Sus scrofa: one gene and its partner. The protein of the gene in region 1 interacts with the protein of each later gene in a biochemical or structural test. Links are inferred from orthologs where the notes say so. Each region holds a gene or a part of one and is shown on either strand. Other genes may lie near its edges.

Region 1 (7,626 bases):
TTTTTTTTTTTTTTTTATTATTTTCCCACTGTACAGCAAGGGGTCAGGTCATCCTTAGATGTATACATTGCAGTTACAGTTTTTTCCCCACCTTTCTTCTGTTGCAACATGAGTATCTAGACATAGTTCTCAATGCTATTCAGCAGGATCTCCTTATAAATCTATTCTAGGTTGTGTCTGATAAGCCCAAGCTCCCGATCCCTCCCACTCCCTCCCCCTCCCATCAGGCAACCACAAGTCTCTTCTCCAAGTCCATGATTTTCTTTTCTGAGGAGATGTTCATTTGTGCTGGATATTAGATTCCAGTTATAAGTGATATCATATGGCATTTGTCTTTGTCTTTCTGGCTCATTTCACTCAGTATGAGATTCTCTAGTTCCATCCATGTTGCTGCAAATGGCATGATGTCATCCTTTTTTATGGCTGAGTAGTATTCCATTGTGTATATATACCACATCTTCCGAATCCAATCATCTGTCGATGGACATTTGGATTGTTTCCATGTCCTGGCTATTGTGAATAGTGCTGCAATGAACATGCGGGTGCATGTGTCTCTTTAAGTAGAGCTTTGTCCGGATAGATGCCCAAGAGTGGGATTGCGGGGTCATATGGAAGTTCTATGTATAGATTTCTAAGGTATCTCCAAACTGTTCTCCATAGTGGCTGTACCAGTTGACATTCCCACCAGCAGTGTAGGAGGGTTCCCTTTTCTCCACAGCCCCTCCAGCACTTGTTATTTGTGGATTTATTAATGATGGCCATTCTGACTGGTGTGAGGTGGTATCTCATGGTAGTTTTGATTTGCATTCTCTTATAATCAGCGATGTTGAGCATTTTTTCATGTGTTTGTTGGCCATCTGTATATCTTCCTTGGAGAAATGTCTATTCAGGTCTTTTGCCCATTTTTCCATTGATTGATTGGCTTTTTTGCTGTTGAGTTGTATAAGTTGCTTGTATATTCTAGAGATTAAGCCCTTGTCAGTTGCATCATTTGAAACTATTTTCTCCCATTCTGTAAGTTGTCTTCTTGTTTCTTTTTGGTTTCCTTTGCTGTGCAAAAGCTTTTCAGTTTGATGAGGTCCATGGTTTATTTTTGCTCTATTTCTATTGCTTTGGAGACTGACCTGAGAAAATATTCATGATGTTGATGTCAGAGAGTGTTTTGCCTATGTTTTCTTCTAGGAGTTTGATGGTGTCAACAGGTGGCATTTTAAAATGTGTCACTGGGTGTTACTTAGAAACAACACTCCCACATCTCAAAGTGCAAGGATTGGATGCCAGGTGAACTAGCACTGAGTAATCAGAAAAACCTAATCTTACTTGCTAAAAAAAATAAAATAATATCAGTGGTGTTCCACATTTGCTTCTAGATCTTGGAAGCCCAGAAGGTATTGCTCTTGACCATCTTGGCCGCAACATCTTCTGGACGGATTCTCACCTGGATCGAATAGAAGTTGCCAAGCTGGATGGCACCCAGCGCCGGGTGCTGTTTGATACTGATTTGGTGAATCCCAGAGGCATCGTAACGGATTCCGTGCGAGGGTAACTGTGTCAGTCAGTGTGTGCGTCTCTTCTATCTGCATCTTCTGCCCTTTGGGATAGTCACCCATGTTAGCTGTAACTGCAGCACTGCTCCCCTGAAACGAGTGAGTTTAGGATGAAGGAGCCTAGCTGGCGGTGTGCAGACATCCATGGTGAAACACCAGAACACCCGTGGCTATCCCCTGTGGTCATGGACTTGCTTCATGGGTTCCACTTTCAAATCTTTTTTTTTTTTTTTGGTCTTTTTAGGGCGACACCTGCAGCATATGGAGGTTCCCAGGCCTGGGGGTCGAATCAGAGCTATAGCTGCTGGCCCACACCACAGCCACAGCAACGCAGGGTCTGAGCCGCATCTGCGACCTACACGACTCACAGCCATGCCAGATCCTTAACCCACTGAGTGAGGCCAGGGATCGAACCCACGACCTCATGGATACTAATCAGGTTCCTTAACTCCTGAGCCACAATGGGAACTCCTACTTTCAAATCTTTTACCAAGAGACTTTGCAAGTTGACAGTCCAGCAATCGGATCTTTCCATTGAGGTTGAGTGTGGATCACCACCTGGGTTGGGTCAGCCCCAGAAGGGTAAACAGGTGGCATAAAAATAGCCCTGGGGCTTCTTCCTGAGGGCAAACTCAGCAGGAACGCCTTGGAGGCTCTTCCTGGGGCTTTGTCAGCACGTCAGCATTTTCTCCCCCTTTCCCTTACTGCACGCTCCACAGCTTATGCAGACCCAGGGCTTCGATTCCTTCCCGTTGAAAGCACATCCTTTGTTCTGTGGCCACTGGGCCATCTCCCTCCTAGCAGGTGCCTTGACCACCACCTCTGCAGCACTGCTTCTGTGCTTCCTCCGCTGGGTCAACTGTGCCTTCCTGTGTGGTGCCAGCATGTGGGAATTCCTGTGTGTTTAGGTCAGTTATGGGGCTCTGTTTTTTTCTTTTCTTTTTATTTTTTTGACTGTGCCTATGGTATGTGGAAGGCCCGAGGCCAGAGATCAAACCTGTGCCACAGCAGTGACCCAAGTCACCGCAGTGACAATGCTGGATCCTTGACCTGCTGTGCCACAAAAGAATTCCCTGTTTGTTTTTTTTTAACAGCTTTATTGAGATATCATATGTCACTTTTGTTTAAGGAAAGTGAAAGCTTTCAAGTGAAGAAGAACCAAATCCATGTGTCTTTACAAAGCAAACTGTGTCTCGGCCCCTCCAGATCCTTTGTAGACATTCAGTGTTTCTTTTATTTTTTCTTTTTGGGCTGCCCCATGGCATATTGGAGTTCCCCAGCCAAGGATCAAATCTGAGCCCACCTGCAGCAACACAGGATCCTTTAGCCCACTGTGCCGGGCCAGGGATCAAACTTGTGTCCCGGTGCTGCAGAGATGCTGCTGCAGAGATGCTGCTGATTCCATTGTGCCGCAGTGGGAACTCCCATTCTGTGTTTCAGTGTCTGCTGATGTCTTCATTGTAGGTTCTTCCTAAGTGTTCGGTAAGTGAACTTTTTCTCATGCATCTTCACGGTTTCTCTTCCTCTTTCTCCTCCTTTTTCTCCTCCAGGAACCTTTATTGGACAGATTGGAACAGAGACAGCCCCAAAATTGAAACTTCCTACATGGATGGCACAAACCGGAGGGTCCTTGTGCAGGATGACCTGGGCTTGCCCAACGGGCTGACCTTTGATGCCTACTCCTCACAGCTCTGCTGGGTTGACGCAGGTGATGGAAAGCCCGGGGCCTGGCTCCTGGGCTTGAAACTGTGTCACTACAGTTTCTTTTTTACCAAACAACTGTTGTCACCCCCTGTACCATCAAGAATATCTCTTATGGGAAGGAGAGTATAAGATAACTGTTTTTTTTTTTTCCCTCTGCACAAAAATAGCTGCATATCTGTGCTCTGAAATCAATTGTTTCTCTAGGCTTGATGCAGTCCAGGGAAAGCTCTCAATCTTCCAGTTTGCTGGCCCATGGGCTCAATCCAACCTGCCACCTGTTTTGTTACAACCCCAGGAACTATAAAGGGCTTTTACATTTTTAAATGTGGCATTTTAAAAGGTTATAGAAATGCTTGTATAGTGTCCTCAATTTTGCCTCTTGGCCCACAAAACCTAAAATAGTTACTATCTGGCCCTTTAAGAAAATATTGGCCCCTCCCCCAGCCCAGTGCCTGTCTTTATCCTGGTACCTATTCAGCAGTTCACCACTTACGTTCTTGGACCTCCACCCCTGTTCGTCCCCAGCAGCTTAGGCAGGACTTGGGGCCAAGGAAGAGAAAGTAGTGCACCCCTGCCTGGGCCGACTTGGGGTGTCGCTCAGGTGAGGGACATGGGCTGGGGAGGAACATCCGTCACACACCAAGTCTCTGCTAGGTCTCTGCTTTGTTCCAGGCACCATCAGGTGCCCTGGGGGATGCAGCAGGGAAAGCATGCCCAGTTGGATAAAACCCCGAGCCTTCTGTTGGTCATGGCGCAGGCACAGCTGCCAACCAGTGGGGCAGTTTAGCAGTTTCAAGGACTGGGGATGCAGGGAGGGGACATCTGAAGAGGCTCCAGGGAGGAGAGGCTGGAGCAGAAGCTGGAAGATGGCATCTTTTCCTACCAAGACGCCAGCTGCCCGGGGCACGGGTACAACGGGTGCAGTTCCTCTGCTCCGGCTCCATCTCCCCATCAGAACCAGGTGTGGGTGCCGGGTGAGGGTGGGGTCAACCAGTGAGAGGACCCACGAAGGACGAACTGCCAGCTCTCCAGTTCAGAAGGGCAGGTCCTGTGTTCGGGAGGATCTGAGCTTGTAAGGCCCTCTCACCCTTGCCCTCGTTACTCTGGTTGTTTGACACAAAGAGGCCATTTCTTGTCGGAACAATGGACGGCTTGTTTTCGCCCCACACAGGCACCAGTCGGGCCGAGTGCCTGAAGCCGGGTCAGCCCAGCAGACGCAAGGTTCTCGAAGGCCTCCAGTACCCTTTCGCTGTCACCAGCTATGGGAAGAATCTGTATTACACCGACTGGAAGATGTATGTCAGCTGCTGCGGCGTGGGGGCCGGGGCCCTGCCCTGTCGCCCTCCCTGGAGGCCAAGTTCTTCCCCAAGGGGCCCTTTGACTTGAATTCCTGCCTCCAGAGATGCCTCTGCCCTGCCCTCTGGGGGTCAGAGAGAAGGGCGAGGAGGGGGCCAGCAGGGCCCCTGGTACCATGTATCATCTGGACGCTCTTAGACGGGCAGCATCAAGCCTGCAAACCTGGACCTCCTCAGTGTGCCTGTTCTTCCCCGAGAACCCCCCTTAGCCAGGGGGCTCCATGCCCCTTCTTAGTTATAATTCTAAAATTGCAAAATTCCTAGAGCCCCTTAAGGACAGCTCTTCCTACAGGAAGTTGGGGTGAAACCAAGCAAGCAGCTGTGGCAGGCACATCTGTATAGAAAGCTGGAATTTAGAGCCATGGGCCTCTGTATAAGAAGCCAGGCTTGCCTCGTCCCAGGAAGAGGGAGGGAGGGCCAGGAGCGAGGCCAGTGTCTCTACTTACGGCCTCCAGTTTATCCCCCCAACTCCAAAAGAGGCTGCCCTGGAGAGAAAAGTTCACACCATTAGATGTGTTTTGACCTTCTCTCCTTTGGTGCCCTGTAGGAATTCCGTGGTTGCCATAGATCTTGCTGTTTCCAAAGAGACGGATACCTTCCACCCCCACAAGCAGGCCCGGCTGTATGGCATCACGACTGCCCTGTCTCAGTGTCCTGAAGGTAACTTACCTGTAACACACCTGTGCACTGGCTGGTGAGGGACCAGGGGTGTGCTGGGACTTGTGTGGCTTCTGGAAGCCCTGATCCCATGGTGAGTGAGACGCAGTCTCTTCCATCAAGAGTAGTCATGGCGGAGTTCCCGTCCTGGCTCAGCGGTTAATGAACCCGACCGGCATCTCTGAGGACACAGGTTCAATCCCTGGTCTCTCTCAGTGGGTTAAGGATTGAGCATTGCCATGAGCTATGGTATAGGTCGCAGACGCGGCTTGGATCCTGCATTGCTGTGGCTCTGATGTAGTCTGGCGGCTACAGCTCCAATTGCACCCCTAGCCTGGGAACCTCCATATGCCATGGGTGTGGCCCTAAAAAAGACAAAAAGACAAAAAAGAAAGAAAAAAGTCTTCATGGAGCACCCCGGTGGCACAGCAGGTAAAGGACCCCGTGGTGTTGCTGCTGTGGTGTGGGTTCAATCCCTGGCCTGGGAACTTCCACATGCTGTGGGCATGACCAAAAAAAAAAAAAGTTTTCATTATTTAGTAGATGAATCAATAGAAAACATTAGGGAAAAAGGTGAATAACGGTCAAGGCTGAGAAAAGTATTGACTCTTGGGTTGGGTCTCAGAATAGGCTCCAAGGAGAAACAGGGTTAGGATCTCTGCTGCTTTACAAGTCCATCCATTTAGCCTGGCAGCAACAACAGTAATTTGTAACAATAATAACTGCAGGCACAGGTGTGATGCTTGCTGTGAGCTGGGTACATCAAGTACATCAAGTCACTGAGTGTACTAAGTGCTCTGTATTCACTGCTAGGCACTATTATTGTGCCCTCTTTATAAATAAGGAAATGGAAGCCACCTGCCCAGGTCACGGTAGGAGAACTGGGGTGAATGAGGCAGCCTGGCTCCAGAGTCAATGCTCTGCTATCTCCCAAGCTCTCTTTCCAACCTTCTTTTCTTCTCTCTGGTCCCCCAGGCAAGTGGCCAAGCTAGAGAGAGTACTTGGTGCCTTAAAACTCCAGTTCCATGTTCTCAGCAGAGCTGGAAAAACCTTTTGGAGCTTTGATGGTACATCAGCATAGCCCCCAGGTCAGGAATCAGGGATCCAGGTTTTTGCGCATCCGACAAACTCTAATGATGAGGAAGCAGCCAGTAGATAAGCTGAGCTGGGTGCCCAGTATGCCCTCCCGTTCCCTGGGGGCCACTCTCTTAGCTGATTGAGCTGTCGAGCTCACTTCTGCCTTTTCCAGGTCACAACTACTGCTCAGTGAACAATGGTGGCTGCACCCACCTCTGCTTGGCCACCCCAGGAAGCAGGACCTGCCGTTGCCCTGACAACACCCTGGGCGTTGACTGTATCGAGCAGAAATGAAGACAAGTATTTCACAGCAACACCCTACTTGAAAGGGTCCAGAATGAAGACTATCTGACTTTGTGGCTGTGTGGCCCTCAGACCCAGGTCCAACCTCAGCCTGAACCTCAGCAGCACTGCCCTCACAGATCCCCACAACATAGGCCCTGGGCTTCTGGAATGGGAAAGCCTCTACCCCTACAGAAAGACAGAAATCCTCCCTGACCCCAACCCTCAGACTTATATAGCCCTGAGTGAGGATCGTGTGCCCCATCCTGGTACCCTGGACCCTTTCTTCAACCTTAACATCCCGGTGATGAGCAGAACCTGCCCTGTGGCCTTATGAGCTCAGCCTCACTTGGAGACACCCATCATCCCATCAGGGGCTGGATACCAGCTAGGATTGTCCAGGCAAGGCTGTGAGCAGAGGAGGGAGTTAGCCCTCCCATGTTTTTTCTCTTGGTGCTCTGATTTCCCTCTTTAAACTCTTAGCTTTTTACCCCTGAGTCTGTACCCCCTGCATCCTGCCCAATGCCCACATACTAGTGAGAAGGCCCTGCCTTTTGATCAGAACCCACCCTGTCCAAGGGATATGTGGGTATTTGGTGGATGATACTGAGCAGCCCCTCCCAGGTAAGTTATTGGCATTTCAGCAGTAGGCTTTTGTAGTCAAAGGCTTAAATCAAAGGAGTGTCCAGTGGTAGGACTTACAGGGTGTAAAGTCTGATGTTTGAGGATGAGGATTCTATTGATGTGCCTTAAGTTATACCAAAGATTACCGCATTACTCCTCCTCTTTGTCCAAAGCACTTGGATCCTAGGGTCTAGTCTCTTGGGCAGCACAGCCTTGCTGTGTCCAGCCTCTGCATGGACACCCATCTGAGACACGGGCTGGGGCTGGTTCCAGGGATGACCCCCCTATAGTTCCTCACCTTCGGCTTCCACACATAGGAGACCCTCTACGGTCAACGTGAGCTTTCTTCTCCTTTGTTTCTCCTCTGTCCATGGCCCTTG
Region 2 (7,626 bases), on another chromosome or scaffold:
GCTACTACTTCGACGGCATCAGCAGGACGTGTGTGGGTACGTGGCCATCTGCTCAGGGGGCCGGCCGGGTGATGCCCCGGAGAGACCTGCCTGGGGTCCTTTGCAGTGACCGAGGCCTGCTCCTCACCTCTGCAAATGCCAAGGGCAGACAGTCCCAGAGAAAAGACCCCAGTCGGGAGACTCCCCCTTATTCTAGCTGGCCAGTCCTGAGGCTCTTCGGGAGCCCCCACCCCCACCCCCACCCCCGGGCGTGAACCAGGTTCCCCATCTAGAGAACAGGTGCTCTGCTTGGCCCAGGACCTCCTGGGTTTTATGCGACTACAGTCCACTCTATAAAAGCTCCAGAGGCTTGATGATTCCCCAGAGATCCACTGCTGACCTGCACGGCCCGGAGCTCACCCAGGGCAGAGAGAACCCAGGATGGCACAGTGGCCAGAACAAATCCTATCCCCAAACCGGGGTGCTCAGGGGAGGCTGGCACTTGCCCCGCCCACCCCCATGGCACCTTTGTCAGATTCCTCCTTTGGGCTCTGGGGTGAAGGACTGGCAGGTGGGCATGTGCCCAGACATGCCATCGTGGAGGGGGCACGAGGCTTGCCCAGTGGGCAAACAGGCCGGGTGTGGTCCCGGCTCCCCTGCCGACTCGTCCTGTGTTTGGGACAAGTCACAGTGCCTTTCTCTGGGAGGAGACCGGGGGAAGTGGGGGACAAGGGTTGAGGGCTGCCCAGGGAGGACGCTGCCCAAGCCGCCTGCCTGCTCTTTTCAGACATCAACGAGTGCCGGCGCTACCCGGGGCGCCTGTGTGGCCACAAGTGCGAGAACACACCGGGCTCTTACTACTGCAGCTGCACCATAGGCTTCCGGCTCTCCTCTGACGGCCGCTCCTGTGAAGGTGGGGGACAGGGGGTGCCCCGAGACCTCATCCTTCCCCAAGCTGCAGCCTCCTGGGGAAACTCACCACTCTGCCCGTCTGCAGACCCGTTTGGGACTGCGTCACACCTGTGCCCCAGCACATATGAAAGGACGTGTTAGCAGAGAAAATGCCTCTAAAAATGTACCTGTCAGAGACGACAGCTCACCTCGATTTTCCCTGGGCCTTGGCCCAGCTGATAACATCTGCTGCACACATGGGGGTGGGCGACTTGGCTGCAGAAGCTGCGTGGATGTGGCGGGGAGGCTGGGGCTTGGGGGCATCCAACCCGCCACCGACATGCCCTTGGGGCCTGGCTGCCCTCACCTGCCTCAGCATCCTCACAGGGCACATGGGTGGTTGTGACAAAGAGAAACAAAAGCGGTACACTTGTTTAAAGTGGTAAGACGGATTGGCTTTAGACTACTACAGCAGAGGAGAAAGACCTCAGCTCCACCGAAACAAAAAGCGCAGGCTTGTCACCTGCCCGAGTGCGTTAAGGATCAGTGCTGAAGGCTGTTAGGGGAGTGTTTGGTGCAGTCAGGCCAGCCGTCTGCTCACTGGCTCCGACCCTCCTGCCGCGTCTGGGGGTGGGGCCTCCCCTTCTTGATGATCGCATTTCAAAGGCTGGGTTCCCAGGTCCTTAGAAAGATGCTCCGGGGTTGCTAACGATACACCTCGAAGGGACAGAGAAAGGATATGTACTCGCAGGTTTGCTAAAGTACATGCTTCTGAGAAAAAAGGGAGTCAGGGCCTGTAGTCTGATGCGGGCCGGAACCCTCAGTAACTTCTCTGGCAGCGTTGAGCTTCCCCAGGCAGGGTCATGGTCTTGGGTGATGCTGAAGTTTGGTTGGGTCTCTGTGTTGGGGGGTGGGTTGGACCGAATTATTGGTGCCGAGAGTCTTGGGGTTCTCAGATAACACTGCCCCCTGTGGTGATGGACTGAGATAGGTGAACCGCGCAGGGCCTGGCACATGGTGGGTGCTCAGCAGACGTCACATCTTCTGCGGGCAGTAGGTGATGAGGTCAGTAGAAACGGAGCGCTTTGGACCACCCTTGGCAACTCCTCACGTGGCCCATCAAGCCCCCTTCTTGGCAGTGCAGTGCCCCGGGGGTGACCTGTGAGCCAGACTCAAGACACAGCAGCTCTTAAAATCCTGCATTAAGAGGGATGAGCACAAAAATCGGATGTGCCCGGATGCCCCCCAGACTGTAGCTCTCGGCCTGGAGGATGGACAGTGCGAGGGACTCCTGGGCGCTAGGCTTCCCCAGAGATGCTGGGATTTGTCCCCAGGAACCAGACCCAACATGCGTGGAAGGGCAGGAAACAAGATTCAGGCCTGGGGGTCCCTTGGGCCTGGCTTCAAATCCCACCTCTGTCATTCTTAGGGCCTTGAAGAAGTAGCTTAGTGTCTCTGGGCCTCAGTGTCCTCATCTGTGAAATGGGGATCGTAGGGCCCACCCCGTGGGGGTCGTGAGTATGAACCCAGGGGACGCCTGTGACGTATTGTCTGTCACAGTGCCCAGGACGAGTCAGAGTGCTCCCGTACGGAGGCTGCTGGCATTATTGTTATTATATTGGTGACCTGTGCTGTCCCTGGTTGCCCCTAAACCACTGATTAACACAGATATTGTCTAGTTCATACTGTGGACATAAAACCAGGGCCTGGCCAGCCTTGCCAGATTATTCCACTGCCTCCTGCCCAGGTTCCTGCCTTCAGGGAGTGTCTCTGGGATGTGAGAAGCCACATGGGGCGGAGGTGAGCATGTGAATAGGGGATCAGGTGGCAGCCAAGTGTGTGGGGGGACTCAGGGCTGAGACAGGGGGTGCGAGGCTAGTGGAGAGTCTTGGCTGCTCAGAATTAGGAGAAAACAGATGTGAGAAGACACTCCTGGGCCAGAGATGGACAGGCTTTTTTCCTGAAAGCCACACAGGACATCTTTCAGGCTTTGCTGGCCACCTCTGGGTTGCGACAGCTCCACCGTGCTGTTGTGAGGCCCAAGCCACCACAGACCCTGGTGAACGAATGGCCGTGGCCGGGTGCCAATAAAACTTTATTTGCAAACTCAAGTGGGGGGCCGGAAGTTGGCCAATCCCTGCTGAGTGAGCAGAGGAGCCAGATCCCAGAGGAGCCAGAGCCCAGAGACCGTGTGGCTTGAAGCAGGTGGGGGTGGGGAGATGCCCAATCCCCCAGCCGTGAGGTCTCTCTCCCTTGGGGTCTGTCTCTCTTGCGGTGACCCTGGGCAGATGTCTGATCCCTGAACTTGGAAGGCTTTGCCTCTGCCTATGTGTTAACGCGAGGGAGGTCACAGGCCGGCCAGGGATGGGTGACGCAGCTCCGAGCGGGGAACCTTCTCTCTTTCAGACGTGAATGAGTGTCACAGCAGCCCCTGCAGCCAGGAGTGCGCCAATGTCTACGGCTCCTACCAGTGTTACTGCCGGCGAGGCTACCAGCTCAGCGACGTGGACGGGACCACGTGCGAAGGTGAGGGCTTCCGGCTGGGCGGAGGCCGGAGCACCTCCGCCTCTGTCCCTGTCCCCGCCCCCCCCTTCTGCCTGGCGGGTGGTTTGGTTTTACTCCCCCGAGATTTCGTAGGATGCCCTCTACCCATCATGGAGTAAGGCTTGCAAAGGAGCAAACCCTCTCCTTGGATTTTTCTGTAGTGAAATAAAACGTCCCGGCGGTGTTTGCCGTGTGTGGGGAGACCTTGAGTGGGGCTTGGCGCGGGCAGGTGATGCCGGAGTGAGGAGGGGCCTCAGGGCCCACCCACGTTGCTGATTCCCAGCTCTGCCTTGGGCCCGTTTTCCTTTTTTGGGCCGCACCTGCAGCATATGGAAGTTCCCAGGCTAGAGGTTGAATCGGAGCTGCAGCCTGCTGGTCTACACCACAGCCACAGCCACACCAGATCCAAGCTGCATGGGCCACCTACACCGAAGCTTGCAGCAGTGCTGGATCCTTAACTACTGAACGAGGCCAGGGATTGAACCTGCATCCTCATGGATACTAGTCAGGTTCTTAACTCACTGAGCTGCAGCTGGAACTCCTTGCCTTGGGCCTTTTAAAAGCCCCTCTCTGGGCCTGGGCCGTCTCTGCTATGACATGCGGGTTAAGCCCACAGTTGCAGCTTCTTGGAGGAGGAAACCAAATCATGGCTTAAGAGCGCTTCCTAGGGTGCCTGAAGGGGAACTTTTTTTTTGTTTTTTATTTTTTTTTTGTCTTTTTAGGGCTGCACCTGTGGCATATGGAGGTTTCCAGGCTAGGGATCGAATTGGAGCTACAGCTCCCAGCCTACACCACAGCTCACGGCAACACGGGAGTCTTAACCTACTGAGCGAGGCCAGGGATTGAACCCGCATCCTCATGGTTCCTAGTCCGATCTATTAACCACTGAGCCACTACGGGAACTCCTAGGCAACTGTTGTTAAGATGATTCCTACGTCTGCATAAGGTGCGTGTGTTAATGACACATTTAACAAGTGGCACTAGGGCTTGGCTGGCAAAACATTTCCCCATGTAGTCACCCTGAAGCCTTGGCTCCTCCCCCACAAACACGCTTCACGCCATGAACTTGCTGTGTGGCTCCAGGCTAGGTGCATCCCCTCTCTGGGTCTCAGTTTTCCCTTCTCACGTGATGGCCTCTGAGGCCGCCCCAGCCCCAGCGCTTCAAGGCCCCCTGGGTCCAGCTTGGCCTGGGCAGCTGCCCCCCAGGCCGCAGCTCAGTCAGCCCACGGGGGTGGAGCCCGGCCAGGGTCCACACGGACACTAAGGGTGGGCTTTGCTGTCACAGACATCGACGAGTGCGCCCTGCCCACCGGGGGCCACATCTGCTCCTACCGCTGCATCAACATCCCGGGAAGCTTCCAGTGCAGCTGCCCCTCGACCGGGTACAGGCTGGCCCCCAACGGCCGCAACTGCCAAGGTGAGCACGTGGAGCCCCTGGTCTCTCTCAGGCCGTCCTGGGGCTCTGCATTCGGGTAGGGAGCCTGGCTGTGTCCTGATCTCCTGCCCCCGGGCACACTTGTCCTCCGGGAGGGCTGAGCCCTCCTGCCCCAACCTGGGAAGCCCCAGGGGGGCCCAAAGGGGGGCTGGCAGCCTTTTGGAAGATGCCACTGTGAAGGAAACGGGCCGTCAATGCCAGGAAGACCCACAGCCTAGCACTGCCCTTTAGGCTCTCCTTCAGTCATTCAACAAACCCTTGCTTTGGGCCAGGTATTAAGGGCAAAGCAGTGAGCAGATGGTACGGGCCTCTGTCTCAAGGTCTTGGTCCGCACTTGGCAAGGGGATGGGCCAGTCAGGATGTGTGACAAGCCTGAGGTCTCTGTATTTAGGGACCTAATGGCTGTAGGGTCTGGCTGGGGCTTGAGAGTCGCCTCCAGCATTGCCAAAAGCGGGCAAGTGGCATCCGGCTGGTACTCGGCTCCCGTTTCTGAGGACACCCCGCACCTGAGGTGGTCCACTTGGTTCCGGAGGGGCTGCTGAGTACATGTTTGTGAATGAGCAGCCCTGGCATGGACACGCGGGCCTCCCTGCCGGGAGCGGCCACAGAGGCTGAATCAGAGGTCAGGTCTGTCCAGCCGCTTCCTGATGACCCCCTCTGCGGCTGGGGGCCCCGGGCTCTGCAGGTGTCATTCCTGGTCAGAAGGTTTGAGGACTTCGATCAAAGGCGGGGAGGGAGCTGCGGGCCTTCCTGGGAGGGACCTGCTCAGCCCGTCCAGGACTCTGGGTGGAAGTTGCTTTGTTTTCGCGTTTCTGAAAGAGCAGCTGACTTCCTGATCCTGGCCAGGCGCCCTCACCGCAGCCTGGGGTCCTGCCAGACGCGGCAAAAACACATTCCTGAGCCTCAGCCTTTGAGGTTGGGCAGGGCTGTTTTTGCCACCGACAATCAGGATTTGGCATCTCTTAACAGATGCCTCTGGCGCGGTGACATCCCCTGAACCCACCCTTTGGCTGCTCTGGACAGTTGTGGGAAGGGGGACGGCTCCCCATGGCCAAGGTCACCTTGTGACAGTCCCCCAGGCCCAGATAGTGACCAGCCCTGGACACTGGGTGTGACATAGGACCCGTTAAATCTCAGTCTCTTCGTCTGTAAAGCGGGGCTGGTAGCTTCTGCTCGTTCCTCCCGGGACGTTACAAGGGCACCTCTGAGCCTCAGAGAGGCGCTGGCTGCCTGGGTTCCGAGTTCACCTCTGCCACTTACAAAATATGTGACCTTGGGCCAGTCGCTTAACCTCTGTGTGCTCGTCCCTAAAACGAGGATAAGCACAGCCCTTGCCTCATCGACTTGTTGTGAGAATCAAGTGCGTTATTCCTGCAAAACCAGGGCCATCAGAGAGCGTTTGATGTCACCGTCATCACGCTCGCCCCGGGAACTGTGACTAACAGCCATTTAGATTTAAATCTAAGTCACTTATAAATGAAAGAGCAGCCAGCAGACGGCAAGGATGGGCTGACCTCCCCCGACCCTGGTTGGCGGGAGGTCCGGGCACCCCCAGCCGTGGACAGGGGTGGCCGGGGGGGCCTTGGCCTTCACGGTGCTGCTTCGGGGTCTCCCGCAGACATCGACGAGTGTGTGACCGGCATCCACAACTGCTCCATCAACGAGACCTGCTTCAACATCCAGGGCAGCTTCCGCTGCCTGGCCTTCGAGTGTCCTGAGAACTACCGCCGCTCCGCAGACACGTAAGTCCCTGGGCCCCGCGATCGTCTGTCTGGGTCGGCCTTGCCGGGGCCCGGCTCCCCGCCCGGGCCAGGAGTTAATGAGCTGTGCCCTCCCACGTGGCTCCTGGGAAACTCCAGGAGCCCTGGTTCTCAGGCCCCCACCTGCCAGTGAGACGGGTCCCAGGAAGCCAAGGTCGTGACCTCTCGCTCTGCCGGGGGAAACCTCGGGCCAGGGTCTGGGCCTCAGTTTCCGCATCTGTGAGCCGCAGGTGTCAGCGCGTGCTCTGGGTCGGGTGAAGGTGGCCATGACTGTGGGCGAGCTGCTGTGACTTGCTGGGGTGCCGTTGTAGATGAAACGGGGGGGGGGAAGCCAGATTCCATTCAGCCCAGTGACTGCGCGGACAGCTCGGGAGGTGCTGTGTCCTCAGCTTGTCACTGTGCGTCCACATGTCATTGTGAGCCTGCCCCTCTCAGGCCCCCGGGGTGTCTGCTGGGGTGTCCAGGAACCCCGTTCCTCAAGTGAGGACCCTCTGTCTTGCCACACACGACCCCACCTCTTATCGTATTAGTGCCCCTGGCAGGTGTTTCAGGAAAAGCCCTGCGGTGGGAGCCAATGTCAGGAGCACAGACATGTGTCCCAGGAAGTGCTCAAAGCCACCGCCAGGCTGCCTGGGTGACTCGCCTCCTGAGCCTGCTCCTGCTCCTCCCACCAGAGGGTCAGTGCCAGGCCCCGGCGTCCACTTGCTCACGTCCACAGTTCTGGCTGTCCTGGTGGATTGCCAGAGCGGGAGCCGCTCAGGGGCTTGCTGTCCTTCCCGACATTGGGGTGCTCATCTGCCCCCCCCCCGGTCCCCTCTGGTTCCCCAGCTGCCTTCTAGCTGGTTAGGGGAAGCTGCCCCAGAACTGGGCGTGCAAGGGCACAGCATTCCCAGGAGCCCGTGGGCCCAGCAGCAGCTTGGTGGGCAGGGCTGGTGCCCCCAGAGCCGTGAAGAGAGATCTGTGTCCTCCGTTTGAGGCTGTGTGGCTGTCTGTCCAGATTCCCACACTCCCAGGCCC

Evidence for each region.
Region 2: the proteins of NID1 (region 1) and FBLN1 form a complex in vitro, tested with the Homo sapiens proteins (3 studies listed by BioGRID). The link is inferred for Sus scrofa from reciprocal best matches to the Homo sapiens genes NID1 and FBLN1.

The regions. Positions count from the first base shown.
Region 1 is NC_010456.5:55,338,478-55,346,103, forward strand, and holds part of NID1 (nidogen-1), read left to right. Parts: intron 1-1,370; coding exon 1,371-1,542; intron 1,543-3,097; coding exon 3,098-3,255; intron 3,256-4,422; coding exon 4,423-4,546; intron 4,547-5,153; coding exon 5,154-5,266; intron 5,267-6,512; coding exon 6,513-6,634; 3' UTR 6,635-7,626. UniProt on the Homo sapiens protein: Sulfated glycoprotein widely distributed in basement membranes and tightly associated with laminin. Also binds to collagen IV and perlecan. It probably has a role in cell-extracellular matrix interactions.
Region 2 is NC_010447.5:3,880,028-3,887,653, reverse strand, and holds part of FBLN1 (fibulin-1), read left to right. Parts: coding exon 1-36; intron 37-766; coding exon 767-892; intron 893-3,276; coding exon 3,277-3,396; intron 3,397-4,699; coding exon 4,700-4,831; intron 4,832-6,467; coding exon 6,468-6,591; intron 6,592-7,626. UniProt on the Homo sapiens protein: Incorporated into fibronectin-containing matrix fibers. May play a role in cell adhesion and migration along protein fibers within the extracellular matrix (ECM).